2 linked regions of the Lepisosteus oculatus genome follow. The protein of the gene in region 2 purifies or fractionates together with the protein of the main gene of each other region. This does not show direct contact. Links are inferred from orthologs where the notes say so. Each region holds a gene or a part of one and is shown on either strand. Other genes may lie near its edges.

Region 1 (9,926 bases), on a different chromosome or scaffold from region 2:
TAATGTTAATGCAGCATACTGTACATAGATACACTGCAGTGCTGAGGTTAGACAAGGATGGATGGATGTGTTATTAATAGAATATCTATTAACCCTCTATTTATCCAACTTAATCTAAGGAGTTACTGTAACAGGAAGTGTTAGGAGAGATATCAATATTTCCTTAACCCATCCCAGAATTATTACTAGGCTGCCTATGTTCCAAGTCTTGGTACATGTCTCAGGCTCATAAAGTCTAACCATGTACAGTGATCAGATACTGAGCTGTTATTGCGGAATATATGTCTATTGCAAGACATGCTGGCATATTGAGTTTGAATATATATTTAATTTTTTAACTTATTGGAGAAGATTAAGGTTGAATTTTAAGTACTTTTCTGCTACAGAGTACAGTTCTGTGGCTTCTGAAATCTAACAACATGGATATGGATATTAATGACTAAGTATTGATACAATTAATATGTGCCGAACTCAACTAATAAAGTGACAAAAGTTAAATCTGTAGAGTAAAGATTTCCATTCTTCAGAGTGTTAGTCAGAATACTAACACTCTGAGGTCACTGCAGCCAGTGGCACAAGAATAAAGAGGCATTGGATGAAATTCCTTCATGGAAAATTCATGGAATGCTGGTACTCACAATTGTGTCTTTCATCAGCACAATCATGTAAAGAAAAGATTCGCTGGTAGGCAGCAGTAAGTGTACACTAGAATGCTACTCTGTACTTTAATGCCAATGAAATGCAAGGAATGAGTACATAGTTGGTGCTGTTCCCTGGTTTCCCAGCAGGTGGTACTATTTTGCAATGACAATGCTGCCCAGTTGATCATGAGTTGGAAAGACAATTATTGTAACTGAAACACAATATGTGTCTGTAGTATTTAAGAAATGCACAGTAAATGTAATTAAAGGATTTATTTCTTTTTGTGCCAAACAGTATACTACAAATATTTACACTAATATTGCAATTACTAGCTTTAGTAGTAGTATTTTAAAGGCTTGCAAGTTTAAAATTGTGCAAGAAAGCCACACAGCATATGCACATCAACAAGAAAATGTATTACTTTGGAAAATAGAATAGTTTATTTCATTGATTGTCGAACCACGCTTATTTGTCACTTAAGCAGGGTATTGTTTCAGTCTCTTATTAGAAAATAACGTGGCCGAAGTTGATGAATATGGGTGGCTGAGCTGTACTATGACAGGAAAGCAGTGAGGGTGAAGGGTGTGTTGAGAGAGGAGAGACCAGCAAGGTCTTGGTGGTGATGGGGGGTCGAGGCAGTACAAACGTTTGATCAGCAGGGCACGGATCTTTTTCTTTTTAATTGCTGGAGTAGGAGGGCTGCGCCCAGTTAACCCACGACAACAGCAAAGCCACAGTCAGCTCCTGATGACACGGGCTGACTTGTTGCGAAGGAAACGTGTGTGAGAAACAGAGTGGTGGCTTTGTGCCAGCCCAGAGCCACGGAAACGCACACTCTGCAGGGGCAGACAACCGAGAAGCAGCTCTCCTTCACAGGTGCAGTTTGCCAGTTCTTCCAATAATAAATTCCCCAGACGTGTCTGAATGTATGCAGCTTCAGCAGCCTGTACGCACAATTGAGAGCCAAAGCTGGGGTTATGCTTAGGGATAGAGGTTAGGGTTGAGTAGTAGTAGTACAGAGGGGGGCTTCTGGAAAGTTAGCAAGCCATCATAAACAGCTTCTTAACCAAATTCCTTTTACTGTCTGGAAAATTCACAGCATATTCTTTCACTGGAAGGGCTAATCAGTGTTTATTTAACTTTCAAAAGGGAGACGTTAATCTAAACTGTATGAAAACCATTCTTCATTTTTCAGACAGGAATTGACTTTATTATACTGTAGAAAAAGAAATGAGTGCCTGAGAGATTATGCAATTAAAAACTCTAATAATCTGATAATCTAGATATCATCCACTAATGAGAATCCCCAAGTGGCAGTGTGCATTTGGGCAAGCACTGTCTGGGTTTTTGAAAAAGAGAGCTGCAGCATTTTGAGCTGCACAGTTGTGTCTACCTGTGCTGCATACACTTGGGTTAACCTGTCAATAGGCAAAGTGAAAGAGTCGGGCTTGTTATCATTTGGCAGATCCAAAATGTGGACAATATAAACAGAGACGTAATAGGTGGTTCCCAAAATATGAAATGATAAAAGTAAGCATTCAAGGGGTCCTCCTTCACCAGAACGTTTGTTTAGGGGATAGCAACCTGAGCAGATTTTTTTTTCCCTAAAAAGTCTCTGCAATAATTTACTGAAAGGTGCACCTCTGTCTCTTCTACCATGAAGCAAAACTCTGTGGTTACTTGAGTTGCTGGTTTAACAAAGGACACACCCAAAATGTGATGCAATCAGTGTTTTGCTGTATTATATTTTGGGAAAGATATTGAGTATTCTACCTGGATCCCACACCATCATCAGCTTCTTTTGGTGCCAAGATACAATTTAACAAGCCTGTGAATACTGTTATTTGCTTTAAATTTGCCCCCCAAAAAACAAAACATAAATATACAAGATCAGACTCACTGATAAATCATTCATTCTAGCATTGTCCCAGAGGTTTTAATTGTGACTCTTTAGTAGTGGGATATAGTAAACCGTTCTACATCTAGGACCCAAAACAAGATAAAAAAAACTTATTTCTCTCACATGCTGAAGTTGGAGAAGTTAATTTGTGTCTCTAAACTATCAATGTTTATACTGTACACACATGCTTTAATATTAGTGTGTGTCCTGCAAAGGAATAGTGTTTGGTTTGGGACATATATATTTTTTAATCATTCTATGCTTCTGGGATAGTTTCCCAGATAAGTAGCTTCCTGATAATGGATAGATGTTTGGATTTCCTTATTTTTGGATCGCATTGTAACACATACCTTTCCAGAAATGGGAAGGGCTCAAATTATGGTATGGACCTTCGTGAGGTCAGCCCTGTCATAAATTGAGCAGTCAAATAATAATAATAATAATAATAATAATAATAATAATAATAATAATAATAATAATCTGGCCATAGCGCGCCAGAACACTCACCACACATCAGCTATCAGTGGGGAAGAGAGCAGAGTAATGAAGCCAATTCATAGAGGGGGATTATTAGGAGGCCATGATTGGTAAGGGCCAATGGGAAACTTGGCTAGGACGCCGGGGTTACACTCCTACTCTTTTCGAGAAACGCCCTGGGATTTTTTAATGACCACAGAGAGTGGTCATTAAAATTTAATGACCATTAAAATCCATTGGTCCACATATTTCATACAGGTGTGAATCAGGTATGAATTTACAGTGAGCATTATCAATGTCAAAAAAAGTTAAAACAATATGTGATGGAGACATTTCACCAAAAGCTCTTACATACTGTATTTATACTGTTTTTAAATCATGTAAACAACTGGAGATTATTAAACCTGTACAAAGTCACTGAATATATCCACTGTGTCTATGTACCAACTACATGCTAAAGCTATTAGCTATTAGTCTGGGAAAAGCAGCTGTAATTAAAAATACATACTAGAAACACAGGCAAATTGCCATTGGACTGTTAAGATAAGTGCAGTTAATGTTTAGCCAGATATTAACAACTGGGACAGTTGGTTGGTTGGATTAATAAGAACCTGGTGGTGTTTTAGTACATGCAAGTAATTTCAAACCTATGAGTCTTTAAACAAATGCCCTTGGCACAGAAACCATTGTAAAAACTAACAGAAGAATTAAACTGAGAAAAATTAAATGAAATTCTAACTCAGCCCCATAAGGGTGAAGTGCAGAAAGCCATTTTGCAGAAGGGTTTGGAGTGGAAAGAGGCTGAAATGGCTCAGGATCTTCTTATCAACTAAATCATAATCTTGTAGTTTTAGGGTTGGGCTTAGAGATCACCTTTCAGGGGAGAAGAAATGTTTTCTTGCATCAGGCCTTCTATGTTTACAATTAGAAAACACAAATCTCTCCTCATGTTTACTCCAGCATTTGTGTGAACATGTTGCTATTAACCGGTGCTTAGTACCCATTACACTTTGTGTCATTCCAGGGGCTGTGTTAGTGCTACACTTCACAGTACAGTATGTACAGTACAGAGTATTACCATGGGAGGTGCAGTGGATCTGTGGCTGGAAGGATCTGCACCTGTGGCTGGAAGGTTGCTGGTTCAAATCCAGCGTCCGGCAGAGGAGTCCTACTTCGTTGGGCCCCTACGTAAGGCCCTTAACCCAAACTGCTCCAGGGGTGCTGACCCTGTGCTCTGACCCCAAGCTTCTCTCCCTGTCTGTGTGTCTCATGGAGAGCAAGTTGGGATATGTGAAAAAGACAAATTCCTAATGCAAGAAATTGTGTATGGCCAATAGTGATCTTATCGTATCTTACATTGAAACAGACAGTGAGGAAACAACATATTTTTATTTTAAGAAACAAGTTAAGGTTTATTTCATGCTGAAAAAAGAAGAAAGGAAACACAGCATTTCAGCTGTGGAATCTTCTTCAGGTATCAACGCTCTTCAATGTACACCCAAAGAAGGCTCCACAGCCGAAATGTTGTTTCCTTCCTTTTCTTTTCAGCAGGAAATAAACCTTTACTTGTTTCTTTGCAGCCTACGCATGCTGATGCATCTACCTACTTGAACTATATTGATTTTAATTTGAGTGACCACACTTCTTCAATTCATTGTCCTTCATTACATTGTATTGTTTGTAATTATTTTCTACAGTCTTTATCAAGGCATAAAAGGTCAAGTGACATGGTGTCTACTCCTTGCCTCCTGGGCTTTATTTCTGCTTGGGCACCTGTCTCGGTAGAATTTGCATGTTCACGTGGGATTTCGCTGGGTGCTTCAGTTTTCTCCCACCTCACAAAGATTTCAGGTTATATCAGAGTTTTCAAATTGTCCCTTTAAAGGACAATGTTACGGAGGAGTTTCAAAGTGATTTCAAACAGCCCCATTTCATTTGTGATCTTCCTGATGTGTTTGGCCCAGGTGAGTGAGTCATCTTATAGGATCAAGTAATTTTTTCAAGTTTCTTGTATAGAATATTGTTTTGTAGATGGAGATTCTAAGTAAATAAAATGAACAAAACCAACAACCCAAAATAAGCTATTATAAATACTGGTGCCTTTATTTCCTCCGTGACTAAACCTTTGTTCCTATTATTAAACGACCCCCCTCCCCCCATACTATGAAATGGCTGTATTGTTCCCTAATGACTAATTATTATGTAGAGGCATACCAGTAAAATAAATATTGCATGCGTACAGAACTCATTAAGACTTTCTCATACGTCATACTAATTATCCGTGGTTTTGGTCAGCATGCAAATATTTTTTTTGAATATACATAAGGAAAGCATACATCGCATTATCTTATTTAAAAAAAAATCCTTAAATCTACACAGACGAGACATAATCTAAAATGATGAAAATATGGAATGCAACGAATGCTGAGTCTATGCACCTTTAAATGCAACAACGGTTTGTGCATTAATAACATGCAAGTATATCATGGCTGTAACTAATGATGACTCTTTCCACGCATTTGATTTAGAAATCAGTTTCCTGTCAGCTGAAAGTGATAACAAGACTATATTGCCTAGCTGGCCCAGCTAAGGCGATGGTGTATTTCACCGAACTGCGCTTTAACGATTTTGTGGTACCTTTTTATTTCCACTCTCCGGCATCCAAGTCAGAACCCTACTAAGTATTTTAAAAGAGGCATTCCTATTTGCAGTGGCTTCTAAAAACTATGAACCGTTGCCTGCGATTGGTGGAGAGTCTTCCCGTGTGATATTTTTTTGTGAGTGTGTCTCTCTGTGAGTAAATGGCTCCTCCTGCCAGAGTGAGACGGAGCTGAGACAGAGGAGTACAGGGGGAGCATTAAGAAAAACATAAATAACATCCAAAAAATAACGATTCCGAGACGGGATAAGCATTTTTTTTACATTAGGGGGAAAACGGAATTTTAAATTGGGTTGAACGTTAAGAAAATTTAGGCAAATTATAGGGAAGGGTTCGAATTTTTTAAAAAATAATAAACTCCCCAAATGAACTCCGTCAGAGCAACCAACAGAAGACCCAGGCGAGTGTCGAGGCCGCGCCCGGTGCAGCCGGAAAGGAACAACGGAGAAAGAGGTAAGAATTAGTCTTTATATATTACCGGTGAAAGGTTGTGTTTTTGAAAGATATTACTGTAGTGTTACGTACAATGCAAAACGATTTCGCCTTGTGCCCTGTTTACAGCCGGTGGGCTGTGGGCCGTACTGTTTGGTAGACTCACATTAGGAAAACGCGAGGCTTCGCTTTAGTGGCCGATAGGATAGGCCGCGCTTTGTTTGGCTTGGCTTGCTCCTAATCCCTGCTGATGTGAGTACTGTTTGGGGATCGTCGTTTCCAGTGTAACTATGATAACATTTATTTTAAACAATGAAAGAATTTCTCCCCCCCAAAATTATTATTAACACATCGTGTTTTACTAAATAGTTACTTGCGTTGTGTTTTTCGTCTTAGTGTTCTTCCCTGTTTGAGGGGGTGTAGTGTTTAATGTTAACTTACTTGGCAACCCCCTTAGCAATCATTTGTCTTTTAAATGGTATCCCTGATAGCAAGCAGTACTATGGTGTATGTTTACGGTGGGTTTACTGCGTAGTTGAGGCTGTACTTAGCTACAGGAGCTTACTAAACACTAGAATCGACCTAGTGACGGGTGGAAATGTTAATAATCTAAACATGTAATTGATTTGTGTTTGGTTTATTTTTGTGCATAACCGCAGTATATCATGCCTTTCATGGGGTCTTTCGTATATTCAGGCCTTGGGTTGGGTGCCGATTGGCATCTGTGATGATCAATCACGCACCATTGTCTTCAGAAGTAGGCATTTTAAAACAACGCGTAGACAAAAGTCTGTTTTTTTACGTAAACACATTTTCGGTTTCGAAGTGACGTACAGTGAGAGGCCCAGTGTCTTACATTACGCAGGAAAAAAAGGTTTTTTAGTATATTGGTAAATGTTGATCAAGCTATTCCTGAATATTGGGTCATGTCTTGCAACTCAAGCAGGAGGTGTCAATAAGGGATTTTCATTTGTGCAGTTTGACTTTTAGTGACAGCAGGGCCGAGGTTGATTAAGTTCTCAGGAATTTCCATGTTTTTCAGCCTTTTAGTTTCTTGAGAGGTTGTTACAGTCTGATCATATAGACTCTATTATATTATTTATCTCTTCAGTCATGTCACAAAAAGCAGTAAAATGTTATGAAATTCCTGAAAAAGAAACATGATCAGAAAGCACATAAAAACTCCACATACAAAGTTTATAGAAATTTCAAATTTAGGTCAACTTTTACAAATGCTTTAGGAACATAATCCAAACTGCTACCAGTCTACCAGTAGTCTTTTACAGACATGGGGGGGAATTATATATATTTTTACTTAAAATAATTTGTAAGTGCCAATACCTGCTAATGGTATGTTAGTTTTGCTATTTTTTATGCGGGCACATGTTGATTTCTGGAAAACAATTTTTTTTTGTTCTTGTGTGTATTTCTCCATAGCTAGAGAGAGATCAATGTACTGGGGGAGAGAAATAAAAACATGTTTTGACATTTCCTGTAGTCCAGTGTCATGTTTTGCCAAAATGTAAACTATAGTAGTAAAACTGTTACTATGACACAAATGGGCAGTGAAATCTGTATGGTGACACTTGCTAAATTTGAGTCTGTCAGGATTTAAAATGCTTTACCAAACAATTTACAGTTTAGAAAAAAATCAAATGGTGAACGTCTTTTGTGGTGGCTGGCATGGTGGCTGTAGAAGTTGGTTAGCATAGCTGTTTCGCAGCAGTGTGGCCCGGTGTTCAATTCCAGACCTAGGCTGCTATCTGTGTGGAGTTTATATGTTCTCTCTGTGTTCATGTGGGTTTCCTCTGGGTGTTCTGGTTTCTTCCCATAGCCCATAAACCTAAAGATGAGTTAATTGGCTTCTAGAAAAATTCTGGTGTGAGTGTGTGCCCTACAATGGACTAGCATCCTGTCCAAGATCTATCCTGTTTTGCGCCCCCTGCTTGCTGGGTTAGGTCCCCCCGCAGCCTTGAACTGGATGAAGAGGTTAGAGAATGGATGGGTGTCTTTTGTGCACAGATGGCGCAGTGGTGCAGAGGTTAGCATTGCTGCATCATAGCACTGGAGCCCTGGGTTCAGTGTCTGGGGAACTATCTGCATGGCGTTTTATATTCTCCCTGCATTCATGTGAGTTTCTGCCTGGTGCTCTGGTTTCCTACCATGGTCCGGGGACATACTTGCGTCCCGTCCAGGGTATATCTTGTCTTGTGTCCATTGTTTGCCAGATAGGCTATAACTCCGTTGCACATCAAAGTATGGAGGAGCATTACCATCTTGTAGCCTGATCTCATCCTATCTTGTTGGACATTGTCAAATTCGGGATGGAAGACCAGGTTGCCACTGTAAGTGGTATTGATAGACCAGTAGGTGGCACTTTTCCTTCTGTACAGTGATGTCAAAGCCTATTATGGCAACTGGACAGTGTAATGTAAGAGGTGCTGACCTTTGTATAGAGCATTAAACTGAAGTCCTGACTACATGACTTTTAAGTATCACGTGTTGCTGTTTGTAAGAGAAGTGTCATTCTGCTTTTGGCTTGCACAATCGGCCCTCTCTGAATTGCCCCCTCAACTCAATTGAAGTCATTTTCACTTCTCTGCCTCATCTGCTATGTAGTGAGCCTTCTGGTGCATAATGGCTGCTGCGTGTCACTCAGTTGGACGCTACATTTTAGTGGTGGATGAAGTGGTTCCCCTGAAATATGTGGAACACTGGGGTTTTGGGGGATGAAAAGCACTGTAGAGATGTAAGAAATTGTTTAATACTTTCCATCAGTTTCCATTGTAGTGAGTGATGCTCATTCAAAAAGATGGGGGGTGGGGAGGGAATAGGGATGTAAGCATTGTTGACACTATTTCTGATAAGAAATAACCAAAGATGGCCCATCCGAGCACAGCAGACAGTTAACGTTTTGATTGAGATAACTGCGTAGACAGTGTGTGGCAATCCGTCTTGGCATGGTAGGCCTTTGTCAAGTTTCCAGCAAAAGCCAATCAAGGTGTCATGCCCCACACCCCATGCAAAAGAGCGTGTGATTTAAGCTGCAGGAATGCATAGGTGGTTTTCCTTTGTGGGAGCGGCATTTGTGCTTCTTATATCCATTTTACTCTCTGACCTGGTGCTGTTAATGGCAGGTAAAGGACTCATGAAAGCACAGCAATGCTATTCTTTGCAACTGAAGAATTAACAATGTTGGGCTAAAGAATAATTCTGATTTGAAATACAATTATTGAATCTGTTGGTTAAAATGCATCAAAACATCAAGGAAGAAATAGGAATGTCTTGTCTAATTGTTACTTTTTAGTTAGTTCCTAGTCCTGTGTTTTTTTTTAATTCATTTACATGGCCGAATACAGATCTCTTTCTCTGTTTTCATGATTTGTTTAATTGCTAACATTGCTTTTCTTTACAAGTATAGTTGGTACAAGAGCCTGCAGCCTGGAATACCTGATGAAGCTGCAAGCAGTGGGAGGCTTTTCTTCACCTGTTTATATGTAGTACATAGTATTGGTGTTGTACCATGGATGTTGACATTCTTGTCAGATCATTATCTTAATGCATTTTATGTGAACAGGACATTTGAATTAATATCAGGTTTGCTGGAACGTGGATGAGAGTCTAGACTATATAGTTCTTATGCGTGCAAACATCAATGTATTCTTAATATTACTAATTTGTCTGTTTCTTTGACATCTTATTGTTGTACTACAGTCTACAGAGTGGTGGTATGGCCTAACAGTTGAGGCAACTACTGAAGTGCCATTTTGGTGACCTTGTGACATTTTCACAAAATGTCTTCAGAGCATCTTAATT
Region 2 (10,262 bases):
GGGGGGGCAGGGCAGGTGAGGATTAGTGAATGACAGAAAGCACACTGTGCGCAGCTGTGGCTGTTGGGGTGGAGGGGGCGATCTGCCCTGCCAGGACACCTTTCTCTCTACGCAAGGCCCTGATGAAGTCTGTATCCAGAACCTCAAAGAGCTGGGAGCATCCCACCTGCCCCCTTCTCCTTCAGGGGAGGATGTTAAAACGGGGGGGCTATCAAGAACTGCAGAAGTCCAACTAAGGGCAGGTTTTGCCAATACCTGAAGCACCCACTCAGGAGATAAGATCCAGAGGCAACTAGCACTGTCCAGGGCACCCCAGGGAATATTTAACTGCCCCCTTAGTGGGCGATGTTTGTTGGTGTATCCAGGTGTGCAAACCCAAGGTTTAACTTGCAGCTTTCCTATTTACTTCTCTACTTCAAGATTTTTTTTTTAATTGTTAAAGCAAAGGACAGCTCTCTGAAATGGAGAAGAGCACTAAATATCTAGCTTTTGTGTTGGGAATTAAATGAATTAAATCAAATCTAAAAAAAAATAAAGACATGAAAATGTTTTTTCTGGAGTCATTTGGAGTGTTTTTTTGTGTAACCTTGATCTTCAGGAGCTTTTAAATCATCAGCCCATACTACGGCAGGGGCTGTGTTCAGTTCACACAACTGACTAGACAGCCCTGCTGCAGACACACTGACTGACCCCCCAGGACCAGGACTGGGGCAGAGGCAACTGGTCACATGACCCAAGCTCCACCCCACAGTATCAGTCACACGGCCTCAGAACACACAGCTATGGGGGGGGGGGGGGGGGCGATATGCAAATCCATTTAAGCAAAAGAAAAGTGGTACAGCACTATCTTTGTTTCCTATTTAGCTCACACAATGTATATATTGGACAGCAGGTTAAACCCCACTGGTGTAGAAAGAGGTTCACCTGGCTCCAGGGCAGTGGAAGTGCAGCAGACTAGTTGCACTCTCAGTTAGATTTCACCCACGATCACAGCATTCCTGCATCACAGAACGCACTTTTACATCTCCCATTGTTCCTACTTTGCCCTCTCCCTCAATCCTGGTCCTGGTGACCCCCACACCTGCTCGGTTCCATTCCACCCCCCCAAATTAGACAATCAAAGCCCGTCTTCTTTGGAATATTTGCATTGTGGTTGTAGTCACAAGTTTGGGGTTTAATTTCACGTTAAACAAACACGCCGGTTAGAGCTTGACCGCATTGATGAGCCGCGAACAAACAGTTCAGGATACGGCAACAAAGCCTCTGACTGGGTCTGGAAGAAGAACGGGCAGGTGTGTGGGTCACCAGAACCAGCACCGGGAACCACTGCTCCACCCATCCAAAAAAAAAAAAACAGACAACAGGAAGCCTCCTTACATTGAACACAGAGGTTTATTTATAATTTACAAACGGACCGTGAACGTGTTTTTTTTAAAAAAAAAACTCAGACTATTTCATGCCAGCTCATGGGGAGACGCAGTCGAGAGAGAGAGTGCACCCCACACAACAGCTGGGGCCAGGCCCGGGGCCAGTGCCCGCGTGCAGAGGGGAGGAGAGGAGGAGGAGGGAGGGGCTGTACGCCAGCGACCTGTAGCGTAGCCACTGCCCAGTCCACTGTCCTTCACCCTAGTGTCCGTACCTGCAAGGGCAAGGAAAGCACAAATCAATCATTACACCAGGTAACAGCACCACCCACCCACCCACCCGCCCGCCCTGCCAGAGGGAACAGGATATTGCACACCAGACGATCCCGATTCCAGCACACAGGTGCACACACGCTACACACCTCTCGTCCTGGCAGACACGGACTGCACACCTGCTCTACAAACTGCGCGCCCCGCAAGCGTACAGCTCGCCTTTACCAGAACGCGATTCGCGAGACGCGAATGAATATTAATCAGCTCTTGGTTCGATCGCAGTGCCGCAGGAGAGCGTGCTACCTCGAATAATCAATAACCGTTAGACCGAGCTCGGTCCCGTCTCTGGGAGCACTGTGACTGGACAAACAGCTCATCAACATTCCACAATTCATCCCGAGTGTTGCTCTTCACGCCCAGGCTAGCCAGGAAGGGCGTTCATTCACAAAACAGACCTCCTCTATATATACACACCCCCCCCCCCCAGCCTAAAAACTCCATCCTGGTGCCAAAGCATATTTTAAACTATTTTAGTATGAGCAGGAAGGAGAGAGCCCTGTTCTGTTCTTTGTGTGTTCTGGACTGTGAGTAACTCTTCTTGGTGCCCTTCTCACTGTACTGATTGTACTGTATTATTATTATTGTATCATTCGTTACACTGTTTCTGTGTTAAGCTGCTGTTGCACTGCAGTTTCCCTCACGGGATCAATAAAGTATCTGTCTATCCAGGCAGGGATGCCCGGCAGGGGATCCTGTCTATCCTGGCAGGACACTCCAGGGGAGCTACTCACTTCTGGAACTCCCACTCCCGGTTGTCCAGGGGGCAGACCTGTCGCGTCTTCAGCCAGCGCGAGATGCAGTGGAAGTGGAAGGCGTGCTGCGGGAGAGCAAGGGGAGAGGAGGGGCGGTCAGCTTGGGGGTCTTTCCGAGAGGTCGGTCGAGCAGGGGGGGGGGGAGGGGGGCTCAGGTTCCAGATACCGGGGGCAGCTCTGGCTCCTGTTTCCACTCATCTCCACACCCCCCTTTCCAGACAGGGGGGTTCAGACAAGCGGCACGGATTACAGGAGGGGGGCGGGGCGTTTGCGGGTTCGCCCCCACGCCCGTAGGGGAACCCCCCTCGCGGCTACTCTGTTCGTTCACACGGCGCCAGTGCCACCCGTGTGCCCCTCTGAGGGGCTAGACAGGGCGAAAACCGGCTGTCTGGGAGAGCCCAGCGTGGCGGTGGCGTCTGTGCGGATGAGGCCCAGAGGAGGTCGAGGGAGGGAGGGAGGGAGAGCGCTCAGTCTTACATTGCAGACGCCCCAGGCCACAGTGCACTCCTCAGACGTAGCAGAAGCCTGGTTGGCCTGACATTCAATACCTGCAGAGAGAGAGAGAGAGAAAAACACAGCAGCGTGTTACCCTGTGAGCTTCAGAGGCACCTTAGGACTGGCACCTGAGTAAGACACCAGCGTCTGGATCTCATGTCTGTACACTCATACTGTGTCAGTGCATCAGTACAGTATAATTCATGTCTGTACACTCATACTGTGTCAGTGCATCAGTACAGTATAATTCATGTCTGTACACTCATACTGTGACAGTGCATTCACACAGCTCTGGGCTGTCAGTGTATTGGAGTCAGTATAATTAGTCTCAACACTCTAACCATGCCTGTACAGTCACACAGCTCTGCGCTGTCAGTGCATCAGTGTCAGAACAGTATAATTCATGTCTGTGCACTCTTACTGTGTCCTTGCATTCACACAGCTCTGCGCTGTCAGTGTTTTGCAGTCAGTACAGTAGAACTCCCATTTACTCACACAGGTCCATGATGTGGTTCCTGCAGATGGCACAGTTGTCCACCACGATATCCCAGGCCCACAGCGCTACTGCATTCCACTAGCAGCGGGGGGAAAGACAGAACACTTCACTTACTGACAGTGCATGCACCAACCTGGCTGACCCTGACCGGCCACCCGCTCGAGATGTGTCCACCCGCTCGTGTTCTCTGCCTGCATGTTGTTATTGCGACATTCGTGAGTCTCGCCCGGCCTCACATCGGGAGGGCCGAGTAATCCGGCAGAGCGGCGCTACTGGGCGCTGTTGTTGTTGTTGTTGTTGTTATTATTCATTAATTAATTATTATTTATTAAAAGGGGCATCTGGTGCTGTAAACCGTGTCCGAGGTGCTGAAAAGTGTATTGCTTTTTTCCCTCCCGACCAGCTTTGTCGGCGCTTGAGAAAAGAAACAGCTTCGTCATTCAAAAAAAGCGAGGAGAACTGAACCGGCTGAAACACGAATACACACTTGTTATTCTCAAAAAGCAGGCGCCCGACAAAAATAGTTTAAGCTGGCGCCCTCAGAAAAGCCTACGGAAATAAATCCGTAAGCCCATTAGCCATCGTTAGCTAACCACGCAAAAACACCGCAAAGCGTCCAGTATTACTCCCCAAACACCTGTATGTTACAACCGATTAACAACAGTCATCAACTTAATCTCTCTCCGTCCCTCCGTCCTTAATTTTTCCTCCTCGAATTACTCAAAGTACCTTTTTCACTTCGAAACGCTTCTTGCTGGCTCCGCTGTTGGTCCCGCTCGGGGCGTCCACATCCATCGCTGCCGCCATCTTGTCTCTGGGAACCCTGGCTCTTGAGCGCCTGCGCTGGCCGTCGCTTCCGGCGGCGAGCTGTGACATCACGGTCCCCATAACAACAGGGCCTGCGGTTCCACACGAAGCCTGACTTTGTACCTGCAGCCTGCCGGCCCGCCGCAGAAGGACGCGTTTGCGATGGTCCAGTGTTTTGCCCCCGACTGCAACCATCACAGCGAAAGAGAAACCTGCAAATTCTTCCGTTTCCCCAAGGATCTGAGGCAGTTCCGAGTTTGGCAAGAGCGATGCAGGTTGGCACGCCGTTTTGCGGGATAAACAGTTAAAAAGTGACATATGGCAGGTGTCTTCGTTTCACCAGTATGCCTCTGAAAAACCTGCAGCCTGTTTTGCGTCAGAGTATCGAGCTATTGAGTGACAGACCAAACCCCTGCCTGTTTTGACAGAAGGCTTTAGGTTGTCTGGTTGTAGTTTCTGTGAGCTTCTCTAAACGTGAAATGTGTCGTTCAGGAACAATAGGATGGCGATTCTTTGCCTTACAAGTCCTGTTCCTGTCCTGTCCCCCCACAAACACACAGAGAGGCCCTCTAGAGGCACCTGAACTGAGGGTCAGGCCAACCAGCCGGTCTTTTCTTCCAGGCGGCAGGACAAAGACCCGAGCGTCTTCTCCAGGCTCTGCAGCTGCCACTTCGCGGAGGGGAAGAAGGACAGGGGCCCGTCCATCTTCAAGACCCGGGCCACCGGCCCGCGGGCCTGGACGCCGCAGAAGAAGAGGAGGAACCGGTAAGCATCCTGCGAGAGGCAGGAGGGGGTGGCGTTCTCCCAGGGAGCCAGGCAGGACCATGGGGCACCGGATCTGGCCAGGACACTGGGGTTACACTCCTGCTCTTGTCGAGAGACGCCCTGGGATTTTTAATGACCACAGAGAGTCAGGACCTCAGTTTTATGTCTCATCCAAAGGACGGTGCCTTTTTACAGTATAGTGTCCCCGTCACTATACTGGGGCATCAGGACCCACACAGACCGCAGGGTGAGCGCCCCCTGCTGGCCCCACTCACACCTCTCCCAGCAGCAGCCTCAATTGACCCCAGGAGTCTCCCCTCCAGGTACTGGCCAGGCTCACCCTGCTGGGCTCCAGTGGGGCTGCCGGCTGGGAGCTGCAGGGTGGTGGAGCTGCTGGCCGTATCACTAGTGGGATAAAAGTGAAGAGGATTCCATTCTCCCGCCTGCAGGGCCCCCGGTGCTGAGCCTGCAGGGCCTGTGGTGCCGCTGGACGCGCCCAAGCAGCCCGAGCCTCTGCTGTTCCAGCCGGCGTCCCCTCTTGGCCCGGAAGGCGGCGCTCCGGGTCCCACTGGCGAAGAGGGTGGCGGGGAAGAGGAGCCCGGAGTCCCAGGAGGGGTCCTGCATCTGTCCCCTCCCTCCCGAGGTGAGGTCAGGGCCCGGGGAGATCGGGGGCGACATGAGGACAGTCACAGAGGAGAAGAGGCCGTAACTGATGGCTCTACTTTTTCAGTAACTAACAGATCTGTCTGCCATAAATAACCGGACACCTCTTGGCAAAAGCCAGGGTATCAAAACCATGGCAGGGAAGCTTGTTCCCCACTCCCGCCCTTTGCGTAAAGTAGCCCCCCCGTCCCGATTAGAGGATCGAATCCAACCGTTTTGGGGAATTAACTGTGCTTCACACCTTAACTTTTACCATAAATTGTCCACAATTTTAAACTTAAGGCCTGTGTTTTTGCTTTTATTGCAACAGTTTGATTGGAATTTGCTACAGTAATGTAAGCTTGAGCATTGAGCCTTCTCGTTATTAATTTTTTTACAGCGTGTAAGAACATGTGGGCTGTGTTCCTGCTAGTGACTTGCCGGTTCTGGTGAATCACAGATGCCGACTGTTTATTGCTCAGTTTATTCATCCATTCGGGACGTGTTAGACTGGGCCTGAACCCAGGGTGTCGGTCAGCACACGGGATGCGATGGAAGCCGCTGTGCCTTGTGTTCTCCGCAGCTCCAGCGCCGCCCAGCTGGCTGCCGGCTGCAGCAGACGGCTCCGCGTCGCAGGCGAGTGTGGAGAGGCATGTGGGCTCCCCTCAGGACCCCATCGCAGAGCTGCAGGTAGGTGATACTGCTGCTGTTACTGTCACTGATACTACTGTTACTGCTACTAATACTTCCACTGACACTGCCCCTGCTGTCACTAATACTACCACTGATACTACTGTTACTGCTACTAATACTACCACTGACACTGCCCCTGCTGGCACTGATACTACCACTGACACTGCCCCTGCTGTCACTGATACTACTGTTACTGCTACTAATACTACCACTGACACTGCCCCTGCTGGCACTGATACTACCACTGATACTACTGTTACTGCTACTAATACTACCACTGACACTGCCCCTGCTGGCACTGATACTACCACTGATACTACTGTTACTGCTACTAATACTACCACTGACACTGCCCCTGCTGGCACTGATACTACCACTGATACTACTGTTACTGCTACTAATACTACCACTGACACTGCCCCTGCTGGCACTGATACTACCACTGATACTACTGTTACTGCTACTAATACTACCACTGACACTGCCCCTGCTGTCACTGATACTACCACTGATACTACTGTTACTGCTACTAATACTACCACTGACACTGCCCCTGCTGTCACTGATACTACCACTGATACTACTGTTACTGCTACTAATACTACCACTGACACTGCCCCTGCTGTCACTGATACTACCACTGATACTACTGTTACTGCTACTAATACTACCACTGACACTGCCCCTGCTGTCACTGATACTACCACTGATACTACTGTTACTGCTACTAATACTACCACTGACACTGCCCCTGCTGGCACTGATACTACCACTGATACTACTGTTACTGCTACTAATACTACCACTGACACTGCCCCTGCTGTCACTGATACTACCACTGATACTACTGTTACTGCTACTAATACTACCACTGACACTGCCCCTGCTGTCACTGATACTACCACTGATACTACTGTTAATGTTACTTATACTACCACTGACACGACTACTATTACCACTATTATTTTTTTCTTGAAAAAAAAAGTCATGGCCTCCTGATAACCCCCCTCTCTGAACTGGCTCCATCACTCTGCTCTCCTCCCCACTGAGAGCTGGTGTGTGGGGAGCGGACTGGAGCATCATCCAGGTGGGGTACACACTGGTGGGGGTGGAGGGGATCCCCAGTACCTGTACAGCGCTGTGAGTGGAGTGTCCAGAAAAGCGCTATATAAGAGTAATCAATTATTATTAGTATTAGTATTAGCAGTAGTATTATTATTAGCTGTCTCTACTAGTAACACAACTCAAGCTGCTGCCTTTGCAGATTAGTGTGCAAGAGGGGGTGGGAGTGTGGAACAAGCTGCCCAGCCATGCTGTAAGATGATATGCAGTATATAAGCACATACAATAAGATAAAAACACATGGAGAACGTTTTTCAGGGTTTGATGTGGAATGCCATCTGCAGTATCAAAGGTAGGTTCAGAAGTGTGCTGTCTATACACAGAAATGGATTCTGGAAATATTCTGAATGTTTGAAATAACTGTATGGAAAAAAAAGGGTAAATGTGAAGTTAATAATGACACTGACTTAAAAAACGTCAGGTTCCACCGAGATTTGAACTCGGATCGCTGGATTCAGAGTCCAGAGTGCTAACCATTACACCATGGAACCATGTGACTGAGCCGTGTCGGTCGTCTCTTTTCTGTATTTGAGTAGAACGACAAGCGCTCTCATTCGATGCCGATGTCGATTACTTGTTGAGCACGCGTTTCGGGTTAAGGTGTGTTTTAACTGACTGTGTTAGAAACGCGTTATGTAGACGGGTATATTAGGATACAGCGAAGGGAACGTGCGTCTATTCCGCGCAAGTGTACGAAACTACAAATCCCAGAACCCTCAGCGGATCTCAGCGATGAACCTCGGCTGCGATTGGTGGGATAGGTCTACCGGTTAGCCAATAGGGAGCGAGATACTTGACCGGCCCTAACTCGGCATGGAGCGCGTAAGTTATGTTGTTTTGTTCGGCAATTCTAAATACTTACAACTGCATTAATGTGCAGACAAAGGAAACAATATCCAAGACCGCTTGATGGTGTTTAAGCGTTCGCATGACTTAAACAAGTGTGCATTTTGTTTTTTTTTTAAACATCCCTCGGTTTTGCAGTGTATAGCCTTCGGGCGCTAACCTCTTGTTTTCGTTAAAGGGGAGCTGCGCTCACAATTTCTCAGACCAGGGTATTCGATCTCGGTAACAAAGTCGATTACTGCACGTTAAAAGAATCGCCAAATTTAACGCATGTGGAACGAAGCGCGACATCGTGAACTTTTGTGTAAGCACAGCGCGGTCGCCATGCTGTCGCAGGCGGGGGGTGGAGAGCAGCACGCGAACTCGTCACGGGCGAGAGAACGAGAGATCGCGAGAGCGGTGACGTAAAATCGGCCCTTCCTGCTCGCCGGCCGAGAAGCGTGATCTTCTATCTATAACAACATCACTCCTGTTTGTCCTTTTGGAGTCGCGCATGTGTCTCGGACGATGCCTCACTGTCGTGCCTTTGGCTGTTCAGAACATAGTGGCCGCACCCAAAGCAGGGGCTCTCATCAGCAGAAGGTCAGGCTGTTTCCTTTTCCAAGAGATATTGAACTGGCCAGGCGGTGGCTAGCCAACATGGGCGCTGAAGCCGGGCCCGTCGACACGTTCCTCGAGGAGATTCAGCGCGATGCGCGATCAGATAAGCACAGGTTGTGCAGCAAGCACTTCACCCCAGAAATGTTCGAACGCGATCTGCAAGCTGAGTTAACAAGTAAGTAGGTTTTGTCAGCAAAGCCGCTGGGTTGAAGTCAGGTCAGCTGCGCTCATTCAGATCGGCTGTCCTGGCATCCACACGGGCTGTGACACGACACGTCCTCCAAGAATATCAAGCCCTGCTAGAATCTTTCTGTCACGTCTGATGTACCAGAAAATAAATGAAAGAGCACTTTTGTCAAATTTGGGAAGGAATATGAGCGTATTTATGTTGGTTGGCAGATCGCTCTTTTTTTTTTGCAAACCTTAGATTAACTATCTAAAAAAACACGTCGCCTTGTATGGATGGGCTTCATGAGGATATTTAAACTGAATAAAGTGGCGTCATCTGCATGGGCTAAAGCATGTGACTCATTGTGACAGTAATAGATCGGTTTCAGATGTTGTCAGTTTGGGATAGGACCTGTGTGTTGAGCTTTTCTCTGCTTTGGAGTTTACGTGTTTGTGAAGCCCGACGGTCCGTAATATAAAATATATTCATTTCAGATACTGAGCCAAAACTTAGGCTCAAGCCCGGGGCCGTTCCTACCGTTTTTACTCAGGAAAAGCAACCGATGAAAACAGAAAGCAGTGGGAGGGCCAAATCAGCGCTCAATAGAGAACGGGTATGTGAGTATACCTTGGGCCTAGAGTACGGAGAAGCCTCTACTCTTTGTAACCTCTTTAAAAATGTGTAGTTTTCCTCTCCGCAGGTGAGGTGGAGAACTACACTTCCCACGATGCCCGGGGGGGGGGGGGGCTTGTCCATTTCCTGTCTAATGACCTCGAGCTGGGAGAGATTAGCTACTTCCTCCCTGGCTTTAAACAGCAAACCCAAGTTTGGTGTCTTCTGTCTGAAGAGGGCCTGAAGGCTAGATATGAAAATATTTAACAAGAAAGTTTGATATCTGTGTGTAAAATTTAGATGCAAGTAATAGCCCTAATAACACTATTTTGTTCATGATTGATTTTGGTTTTCCCTGATCAAGGATTCGACACAATAAATAAGTAACATAATTTTGATGTGCACCGAATTTGAAATGACATTCCCAGCCATTTGAATCAATACGTGAGTTTTGACAATACAGCAGCCGATTGATGCTGTAATGTTTTTTTTTAGAAACTCCTATCGTATCTTTAAAAAAAATTCCAAATGATCTAGCCAGGTATGTTTTTGTTCTGCCTTGCTGT

What was found. The genes of interacting proteins can lie anywhere in the genome.
Region 1: the proteins of rbx1 (region 2) and fbxo11b purify together in Homo sapiens (co-immunoprecipitation; 4 studies listed by BioGRID and IntAct, with this or other methods). This does not show direct contact. The link is inferred for Lepisosteus oculatus from reciprocal best matches to the Homo sapiens genes RBX1 and FBXO11.

The regions. Positions count from the first base shown.
Region 1 is NC_090712.1:12,876,532-12,886,457, forward strand, and holds the start of fbxo11b (F-box only protein 11), read left to right. Parts: upstream 1-5,788; 5' UTR 5,789-6,043; coding exon 6,044-6,131; intron 6,132-9,926. UniProt on the Homo sapiens protein: Substrate recognition component of a SCF (SKP1-CUL1-F-box protein) E3 ubiquitin-protein ligase complex which mediates the ubiquitination and subsequent proteasomal degradation of target proteins, such as DTL/CDT2, BCL6, SNAI1 and PRDM1/BLIMP1.
Region 2 is NC_090707.1:38,080,113-38,090,374, forward strand, and holds rbx1 (E3 ubiquitin-protein ligase RBX1), read right to left. Parts: upstream 4,280-10,262; 5' UTR 4,248-4,279; coding exon 4,170-4,247; intron 3,519-4,169; coding exon 3,440-3,518; intron 2,998-3,439; coding exon 2,927-2,997; intron 2,515-2,926; coding exon 2,429-2,514; intron 1,640-2,428; coding exon 1,627-1,639; 3' UTR 1,374-1,626; downstream 1-1,373. Other genes in the region: l3mbtl2 (lethal(3)malignant brain tumor-like protein 2), read left to right, coding at 4,410-4,522, 4,869-5,012, 5,462-5,655, 6,238-6,344. UniProt on the Homo sapiens protein: E3 ubiquitin ligase component of multiple cullin-RING-based E3 ubiquitin-protein ligase (CRLs) complexes which mediate the ubiquitination and subsequent proteasomal degradation of target proteins, including proteins involved in cell cycle progression, signal transduction, transcription and transcription-coupled nucleotide excision repair.